Linked DNA regions of Oryzias latipes. The protein of the gene in region 2 interacts with the protein of the main gene of each other region in a pairwise test. Links are inferred from orthologs where the notes say so. Each region holds a gene or a part of one and is shown on either strand. Other genes may lie near its edges.

What was found.
Region 1: the proteins of kxd1 (region 2) and lrrc45 interact in binary tests that used the Homo sapiens proteins (3 or more experiments, as listed by UniProt). The two-hybrid records come from large-scale screens. The link is inferred for Oryzias latipes from reciprocal best matches to the Homo sapiens genes KXD1 and LRRC45.

Annotation. Positions count from the first base shown.
Region 1 is NC_019877.2:23,060,562-23,064,665, reverse strand, and holds the start of lrrc45 (leucine-rich repeat-containing protein 45), read left to right. Parts: upstream 1-1,304; 5' UTR 1,305-1,393; exon of another isoform or gene 1,394-1,410; intron 1,411-1,568; exon of another isoform or gene 1,569-1,679; intron 1,680-1,692; exon of another isoform or gene 1,693-1,813; intron 1,814-2,336; 5' UTR 2,337-2,400; coding exon 2,401-2,611; intron 2,612-3,744; coding exon 3,745-3,806; intron 3,807-3,873; coding exon 3,874-3,944; intron 3,945-4,084; coding exon 4,085-4,104. Other genes in the region: trub1 (probable tRNA pseudouridine synthase 1), read right to left, coding at 980-1,078, 1,157-1,304. UniProt on the Homo sapiens protein: Component of the proteinaceous fiber-like linker between two centrioles, required for centrosome cohesion.
Region 2 is NC_019864.2:21,181,592-21,185,587, forward strand, and holds kxd1 (kxDL motif-containing protein 1), read left to right. Parts: upstream 1-1,196; 5' UTR 1,197-1,332; intron 1,333-1,498; 5' UTR 1,499-1,513; coding exon 1,514-1,611; intron 1,612-1,762; coding exon 1,763-1,915; intron 1,916-2,376; coding exon 2,377-2,423; intron 2,424-2,532; coding exon 2,533-2,789; 3' UTR 2,790-3,577; downstream 3,578-3,996.

The DNA.
Region 1 (4,104 bases), on a different chromosome or scaffold from region 2:
TGGAAATGTTTTTGCCATTTGTTCATGTATCTAAAGTTGTATCGTCATTGCAATATTGATCACTAATATCGCGAGTTTTCCTCATATCGTGCAGCCCTAATTTGGATAGTTTACATTCTTATTTGTGTGTGTGTGTGTGTTATGTTTATTCTTTCCTTTTATGGTCTATATTTTATGTTAGGTAATGGTTATTGTTATTCTTTGTCATGTTTATGTAGTTACTGTTGTTCTATGTAAGGTAACTCAGTTGTTAATAAAGTTTTTTTCTTAAAGGGCCTGTGGCAGATGTTGCCAGATCAGGAGAATTCGAATCAGGAGCAGGTGAGAAAAAAGCTAAAGGGGCGGGACCAAAGCTCCCTGCTCCGCCCCCTTCTGGTCAGACAAATAGATGCATGAACGTCTCTTGGTCTGAGCTGTAATCTGGATCAGAACCACACGGCTGGATAGATCTGATACTCTGCTGCTGTTTTTATTTCCCCACTAATGTTAGGCTGGGGGGATGTGAGGGGTTTTAAGCTAGTGGGAGAGAGTGTAAATAGATGGATGACGGGAAGTGGGGTGTGCTTACTGTGTCATTGGCTGTGCAAATGGTCCCGCCCACAACTCAGAAGTGAATTTCTACTGACTTTCTGCAAAAAATGTACTAAAAAAAACAAGTTTTTGGATTTTGGCTAAAACCAGCGTAATAATAACGAAAGGACAACAGGGAAGACTTTGAAAACAGGTCAGATGATGATCGGAGTGGCACTTTAAACTTTTCAGCTTTACATTCTCTGTTGCCTTCAATCCAAACTCTTGGAAATATGGCAGAAAAAAAGATTTCTAGTTTTTGAAGGACATTCCTGAGAAAGAAGCTCAAACAAACCATAAACCTATCAGGTGTTCACAGTTACACTGCGCTATTAGCGGAATATCACCTGGTCTGAAATCAGAGCTGGTGATTCCCAGCGGACCCCAAACGCAGCAGGGCGTCAGTTACCTAACACGCCGCTGGCGGCGCTATCCAGGGTCCCTCCGTGGCCCATCTTCAGCCACTGCTTCTTTCTTTTCCGGGGGTTGGGGGTCTCCACTCCCGCTTCTTAGAGGATGAGGAAACACATTTCACCTGCAGCTTTATTTGGTCTTCCGCTCGTTTCTGTTGTTTTGCCCTGGTTACCTTTGAGCAAGGCTTCTTTGAGCGCGTTCAGCACGTCGGCGGATGTCGGCCCTTTCTTCTTGTAGATAGCAAACATTCCGTGCAGAGACTGCAGTTTCACCAGAGAGCTGCTCACCTTAGACGCCGCGCTGCTCGTGTTTCCAGCCATGCCTGGTTCCACCTGCTCTTCTTCGGCCACAGAATTCTGTGCTCAGCGGATGATGGTGTCTTATTGTCGCCTCCTGGCGGTGGATTAAGGTAATCGCAACAGTTTTGTTCTTGCCTTTGCGGTCCGGTTTTTATGACGAAAATAATCATTTAAAAAATATAAAACTAGTTATTATTTGTAAAAGTCTTTTTTTCAAGATGAAATTATAGTTAATGTTAGTAAAAGAGAGACAGAAAAATTTTTTCAAATCTCACTACGCTGACCATGATGCTTTGCGCGGATCACACTTCCTGGTTACTTGAACGGCTGGTTTCCTTCATCCGTCAGATGGTAAACACAGTAATCATCAGGAGACGCTGCATTCTGCCTGCTGGGGTCTGTTTGATGCTATTTTGTAATTTCTTCGGATTTCGTACCGACAAACATTCGAGAAAACGTCTCGCCTTTCGGTTTTTGTGTGGATCATCTGTTCGAGTCCCGCTTCGCGTCTGCCGCCAGACAAACTTTCAGTGGGTCTTTCTTAGAAACCATCTTCTAGCTCTTCAACAGTCCGTTTAGGAAGTGAAATCACAGTTCGCTTTGAACGAATTGAAGGGTTTTGTGCCAACTTAGAAAAGTTTCTGCTAACGTAGCCGTCCAGCTTTTTGCCCTGAAGCCCCCGTTTTCAAGTCTGAGCTCTTCATCACTTCATCTTCATCAGGCGGGCTGAAAAAAAAACGCTGAACATGAAACTACGGTGGCCCTGAGGTGCAAACCAAAAATCATGAACTCGGGGTTAGGGATGCTGGAAGGTCTCAGGTCCAAGTCACGTGGTTTTGGATGTGGGTTCCGCTGTCATCTGAGGAAGTCACGTGGAGGATGGAGAGACATGCATTTACTGTTTTATGAAAACTTTATTTATAACTCAGGAACAGCTCTCACAAGCTCCAAACCTTTCTGCATTGGAGGCTAGCGGCATCTTTGACAGGACTTTTGCTGCCTTTGACCAAAACTAAGCTGAAGTCTCTGTTTTTCTTTTTTGCTGCTCGGTAGATGGGCCCCTGAGGACCAAAGACGGCTCTCTGTGCTCAGATGATCGGGACTGTGGAGACCAGCGATGGAGGACTCCAGGGGGTTGTACCTGCGTCTGTGTAAGGAGGGCGGCGTGGAGCCTCAGGAAGGGGTCCTGGATCAGCTGCAGGAGGGTTCCAGGCTGGATCTGAGTGGACAGAGCCTGTCTGCAGACACCTGCTCGGTGCTGGCCCGGGCCCTGCAGGACGGCGCTTTTACGCAGGTGTCGCTGAGCGACTGCATGCTGAGTGAGGAAGGTGTGTTTGACAGCACCCGCCTATGGGGGCTACTGTTAGCCATAGGATTATGACAAACACCGGAAAATCAAACTTTGAATTGCGTTTCTTAGTATTTATTTATTCAAATTGCTGTGAATCAGGAGCAGACCAAAAGATGCTGCTGAAAAAAGAAATAATTAGTGATGTAGAAAATACACTGGGTGGGGGGCGGGGCTAAGGTCTCCCTGCTCCGCTCCATTCTGATCATCCACCTGCAGAGAATGAAGGTCTTTGTTTTCCTGGTCTGAGCTGGAATCTGGATCAGAACGGGACGGCGGGATAGTTCAGATATTGCTGCTGTTCTTGTTGTCCTACTAATGTTAGTGGGTGAGGGGGTGTAAGGAAGGGGGAGAGAGTGTAAACAGATGGGTGACGGGGAGTTGGGGCAGGCTTACTTGATTCCAACAGTCCCGCCCACAATTCTAGGTGAATTTCTAATGAGCTCCTGCTGCTCTGCAGAAACTGTTGCGTCCGAATTCTCACCTGAACCCCTAAATGCTAAAAAACTATGCAGTGTCCTGGATTTTTAAAGCAATTCTGACACCAAGCTCACTCCTTTTTTTTTTTTTAAACGGCAGATATGATGTCATCGATTTCATGAAGTTTAAATTTAATTAATATGAGCGTTTTGCAACAATCATTTATGAGTCCACTGTCTTCTGAGGATAAAAACATTGACGATTTATTTAAAAAAAATTATTTAAATAAATCTTTTTGGGGAAAAAAATGTTCCGACGCAATGCATTGTGGTCTATGTTCTCCGATCTAGTGAGCACCGATGCACACTGGTTTTCCAGAGCACTGGATTTGGAATTGTAGATTCAGACAGCACTAGAAAATGGAGAACGCTCTATATAGGGCACTATGTAGGGCAGGGGTGGGAATTTGGACATACAAGGTTTTTTTTAGATTTTGGTTAAAAACAGCATATTTCTACTTAACTGGGAACGCTTTGAAAATACACTAGAAGATGATCAAGGTGGGATTTTAAGTTAAAGTAGTTATTATAATTTAACTGAAAGTTGTTGTTTTTTCATGTGTTGTCCTTTAATTGTTGATATTTTTGACAAACGTGACCTCATTAGTTTTTTGTCTTTGTGTCTGACCTTCAGGGGCCAAAATCCTCCTGAGTGGACTGTTTGGCAACACCACAGTGAAATCTCTCGACATGAAGGTTTGTCAAATGATGCTGAACACCTGACGGACGGACGGATCGGTTGACGAAATGCTTCTGTCCACAGGGGAATAACCTGCGGTCGGCCGGAGCTGAGGTGCTGGGAAAACTGCTGGCCCGCAACAAGACCCTGTGTAGGTGAGAGCCGCGCTCCGACTGTCCTCTGCTAGATTTCTGCCTCTGATGTGTTCAGACACGTCCCCAGTCGGTGCTCGGCCTGCGGGTGGAGCACGGCGCTCCTTTCCCAGCTCTTATGGAGCTGATGCTGGTGTTTCTAGGCTGGTTCTGGAGTGGAACG
Region 2 (3,996 bases):
TTCTTCTGTATGATCCCTTTGCATCCATGTAGACTGTAATGGCTGATAGTTTGCAAACAAACTGTATTCCCCTTTGTACCTTGTAGCTTACAATGACAGAGTATTAGGACATCATAGGAAATTCTACTCTAGACTTGCATGTACTGTTGCTATGCATTTCCTTAGCTTACAAGTTAGACAAAGCTTTTTGTAATTTTTATACATCATGTACTTTTTTACTTGTCTCTTAATAAAAGTAATCTTGTGCTTTTTTCCGCAAGTACCTTTTTATGAGTTATTCTTGTGTGTGAGGACCTCTGCAGTCACTTTCAGCTATGATAGGGAAAAAAAGTTAAAAAAAAGATTTAACATTTTATATATTTTAACAGACGATTGTAGAAACAATATGAGAAAACAGCTTCTATGAAATGCAGATAAACGACAGCAAAATGCTATTTTTTTCTCACAGATGGTTCATGTGTGAATATTTAAATTTAGTTTTTTTTCGCCATGTGGTGGTGTGAAAAGCATTTAGTTGGCGCACACCAAGGAGACAAGACATTTGAATAATCTCAGAGGATGAAATGCTGCTGCCTTTTAAACCTGCAAAGGTTTTTCTAGACAATCAATGTAACAGTTAAAACTTTTCAAGGCACGAAGCCTTGAAAGGTAGACTCTTAAACCTAAATAATTGGGAGTATGTGAAATTTTGAGACACACTACTGGATGTAAAGTAAATATTTTTGATAAACTTTATTTTGAAAAATTATATTTTTTTAAGCTTTCTAAGTAGGTCATCATTCTATTTCCCCACTTAAGATACAATTCTTTCCTGATTTCATGAATAAATTTGACAACTTTCACATTTTACTGCTGCGACAACTAAAATTGTTTAGATTTGAGCGAGTTTCAGACTGCAGAAACAAGTTGATGAAAAAATATCTTTTGATTGCGCGATGCAATAACATTTAGAATTAAATTAAATCAAACTAAAATAATTAAAATGTATATCAAGGAAAACGGCTTTAAAGTTTTACAATTGCCGAGTCATTTTAAGCCGTCGTTCATGACTGACACCACAGTTTCATCATAAAGTTTTACTGAAGGTTAACTGAAAATGTATGTTACATTTATCCCGTTTATATTTAAGAGTAACGAAATTGAAATCATTGAGTAAAATACGCAAGTGTCATTTTTGGAAAACATTTTTTTTACCGGAAATGCTGGTCTTGTGACCGGAAGTCGACATAAATGCGGAAGCAAATTGTCTGTTTTGCAGTCAGTTGTCGAATATATTTTATTTATTTTATCAAATAAACCAAAGTTCAAAATACATAAACTGTTTCTTCTGAGGTAGGAGACGTGATTTTTCTTTTCTAGTTTATATTTTTGCGTCCGAGTTCATTTAAATAACCGTCCAGGCAGTAGCATAGTAGTAAACTATAAAATACATAGTTTCACGGTTTTTCAATTCCATGAATTGTATAAATTCTGAATTAATGAAGATTTTCAATTGCAGCTTTAAAAAAAAATCATGGACGAGCCCACAGCATCTGGCGTGTTCTGCAGCAGAATGCTGAGTATGGTTAACTCTGAGGACGTGAACGCTATCATCCAGGCTCAGAGACACATGTAAGTTCCGTGCTGTGATTGATCTATTTTTTTTTGTTGGGGGGGGGGGGGGGGGGGTCTGTTTATGTGGGAGATTTGCTGCTTTGTGAAATGACTGTTGAGTTTAGAAGTAAAGTCTTTTGTCTTTTCTGTCTATTGATTGTGGAAACAGGCTCGATCGGTTTGAAAAAACCAACGAAATGCTGATAAACTTCAATGGACTGTCAAATGTGAGGCTGCAGCAGATGAATGACCGCTTCCTACTCCACACCCGCACCCTGGTAGAGATGAAGAAAGATCTGGATAGCATTTTCAGAAGAATTAGGTAAGTCATTACACCTTAAGAAGGTGTATTCAATTATCTATAAACCTATTGACACGTTCATATCTTTATAGAATAGTGTGATGGTAAACCCTGGCCTCAGGAGATCCAGGGTGGAACCCAATTCGATTCCCCAAAGTGTGCTTTAAAGTTAGCACAAGCTGGTGGAAACTGGAACAAAACATCTATGGACAAACATTCAAAAGACAACAAGAGTGGAAAAATCCAAATCAGTCCTTAAGTCTGAGAGGCATGTGGAGTACTAATCATTTGATGATATAACAAACAGTCAATATTACAACAGGTACTAGTGAATACCTCTCTAGCAGTAGAAACTGGATGAGGAAGAGCAGGAACTATCCTGAAAGTCTTGCAAGCTTGAGGGAAACCACCACTCAGGGTCAGAAGAGAAAACTTATGTGGAATATGCACATTTCTCATGATTTGTCTCTTCTTTTTCTTAGGACTTTAAAAGGGAAAATTGCCAAACAATACCCAGAAGCTTTCACCAGTAAGTTGAGATTTTGACTTTTTTTCCACTAACATCTAATATTATGTTCCTTTTCTACCAAATCATGCACCCCAAAAGTGTTTTCATAAGACGTTTTTGTCCCTTTCAGATATCCACGAGTCACCAATCTCAGAAGATGAAGATGACGAATTTGACCCAGTTCCTCCAAGCGTTGCTACAACAACCACGACAGCCACTTCAGAGCAAAGCACAGAATCCTGTGACACAAGTCCGGATGTGATTTCACCCACTGTGAGCAGATGTTCTGAGGACCTCTCTCAGGAGCCACCTGACACACCCACTTCTGATGTCCAAGAGACAGCAGTTCTTCAGGATGAGGGTCCTGACTCTGTACCTGCTGAGTAAAAGCAACAGAATGGACATAAAGTTCACAGGCCATGCTCTGTGTTTAAACAAATTCTTTTTTTAGTGGGTACATCTGTTTGTTAAAGGTCAAGTTTCTCTTTTATTGTCTAATACTGACTTGATGTATGTCTGCATAAAATGTAAATAATGGAAAAATGCTACTTTACTTGTGAAGCGTTTGAATATAAAAATATGTAAAAATTCAGGATCCAAAGGCTTCAATAATTAGGTGACTGTAGTTTTCTTTTCTTTAAAAAGATGCACTTTTGGCCGAAAACTGCATTCTTAAATGCACAAGTTTAAGGATCTCAATTTATATACTAATAGCTGAGAGTATTATTCAGACTTGTCTTGTGTTTACCTTGTTAACTTCAGTGTTTTCCTAAGGTTACTGTTGGCACATTAAACAGATTTCCTGTGGGAATAGAAGCTTGAAAATACACATTATACATGTGTATTTGCATGTCATAGAGACTGTCAAGAAGGAAAATCAACAACACAATACATTTATTAATATAACCAATAATATAATTATTTTTTTCTAGTAAGTGCATTTTGGATTTGGATCAAAGGATAAAAACTTAAAATTTACATTTTAATCCAAGTGTTCAAATTTTTGCTGAACTCTTGTTTTAAACGGTAAAGGCAGGCACAATTTAATTTAAATGCAAATAAATGTAAATTTATTTTATGACCGTAATTATTAACAACATACCATGATTATTTTTTAAATATCTGAGATAGATGATTTTGTTGGCATTGCTTTTCAAAATAAAAGTTACCCGTTTATGCCCTATTGAATTCTTAAATGTGGAAAGGATCACAGTTGGGGAGAATTAAAGACCCACTCTGATCATCTTTTGATCTATTGTAAAATCATTCCCAGTGGTCTTTTAATTATGACTATGCTGTTCTTAGGGAAAATCAAAGAAGCTGTGTAGTTTTCTAGGACATACATTTCTGCAGAGCTTTTCTGGGTTGTGGGCATGACTGTTGGCGGGGAGTAAGCCTTCCCTCATTTCCCATCATCCGTTTGTTTACACTCTGTCCAGCTAGCTTACAGCCCCTCACAACTCCAACCTAACATTACTGGTGCAACAAAAATGGTGAGCAATATCGGAGCTCTCCAGCAGTACAGTTTTGAGCCAGATGTCAGCTCAGACAAGGAAAACAAAGACATTAATGGATCTATCAAGCACCTACATCA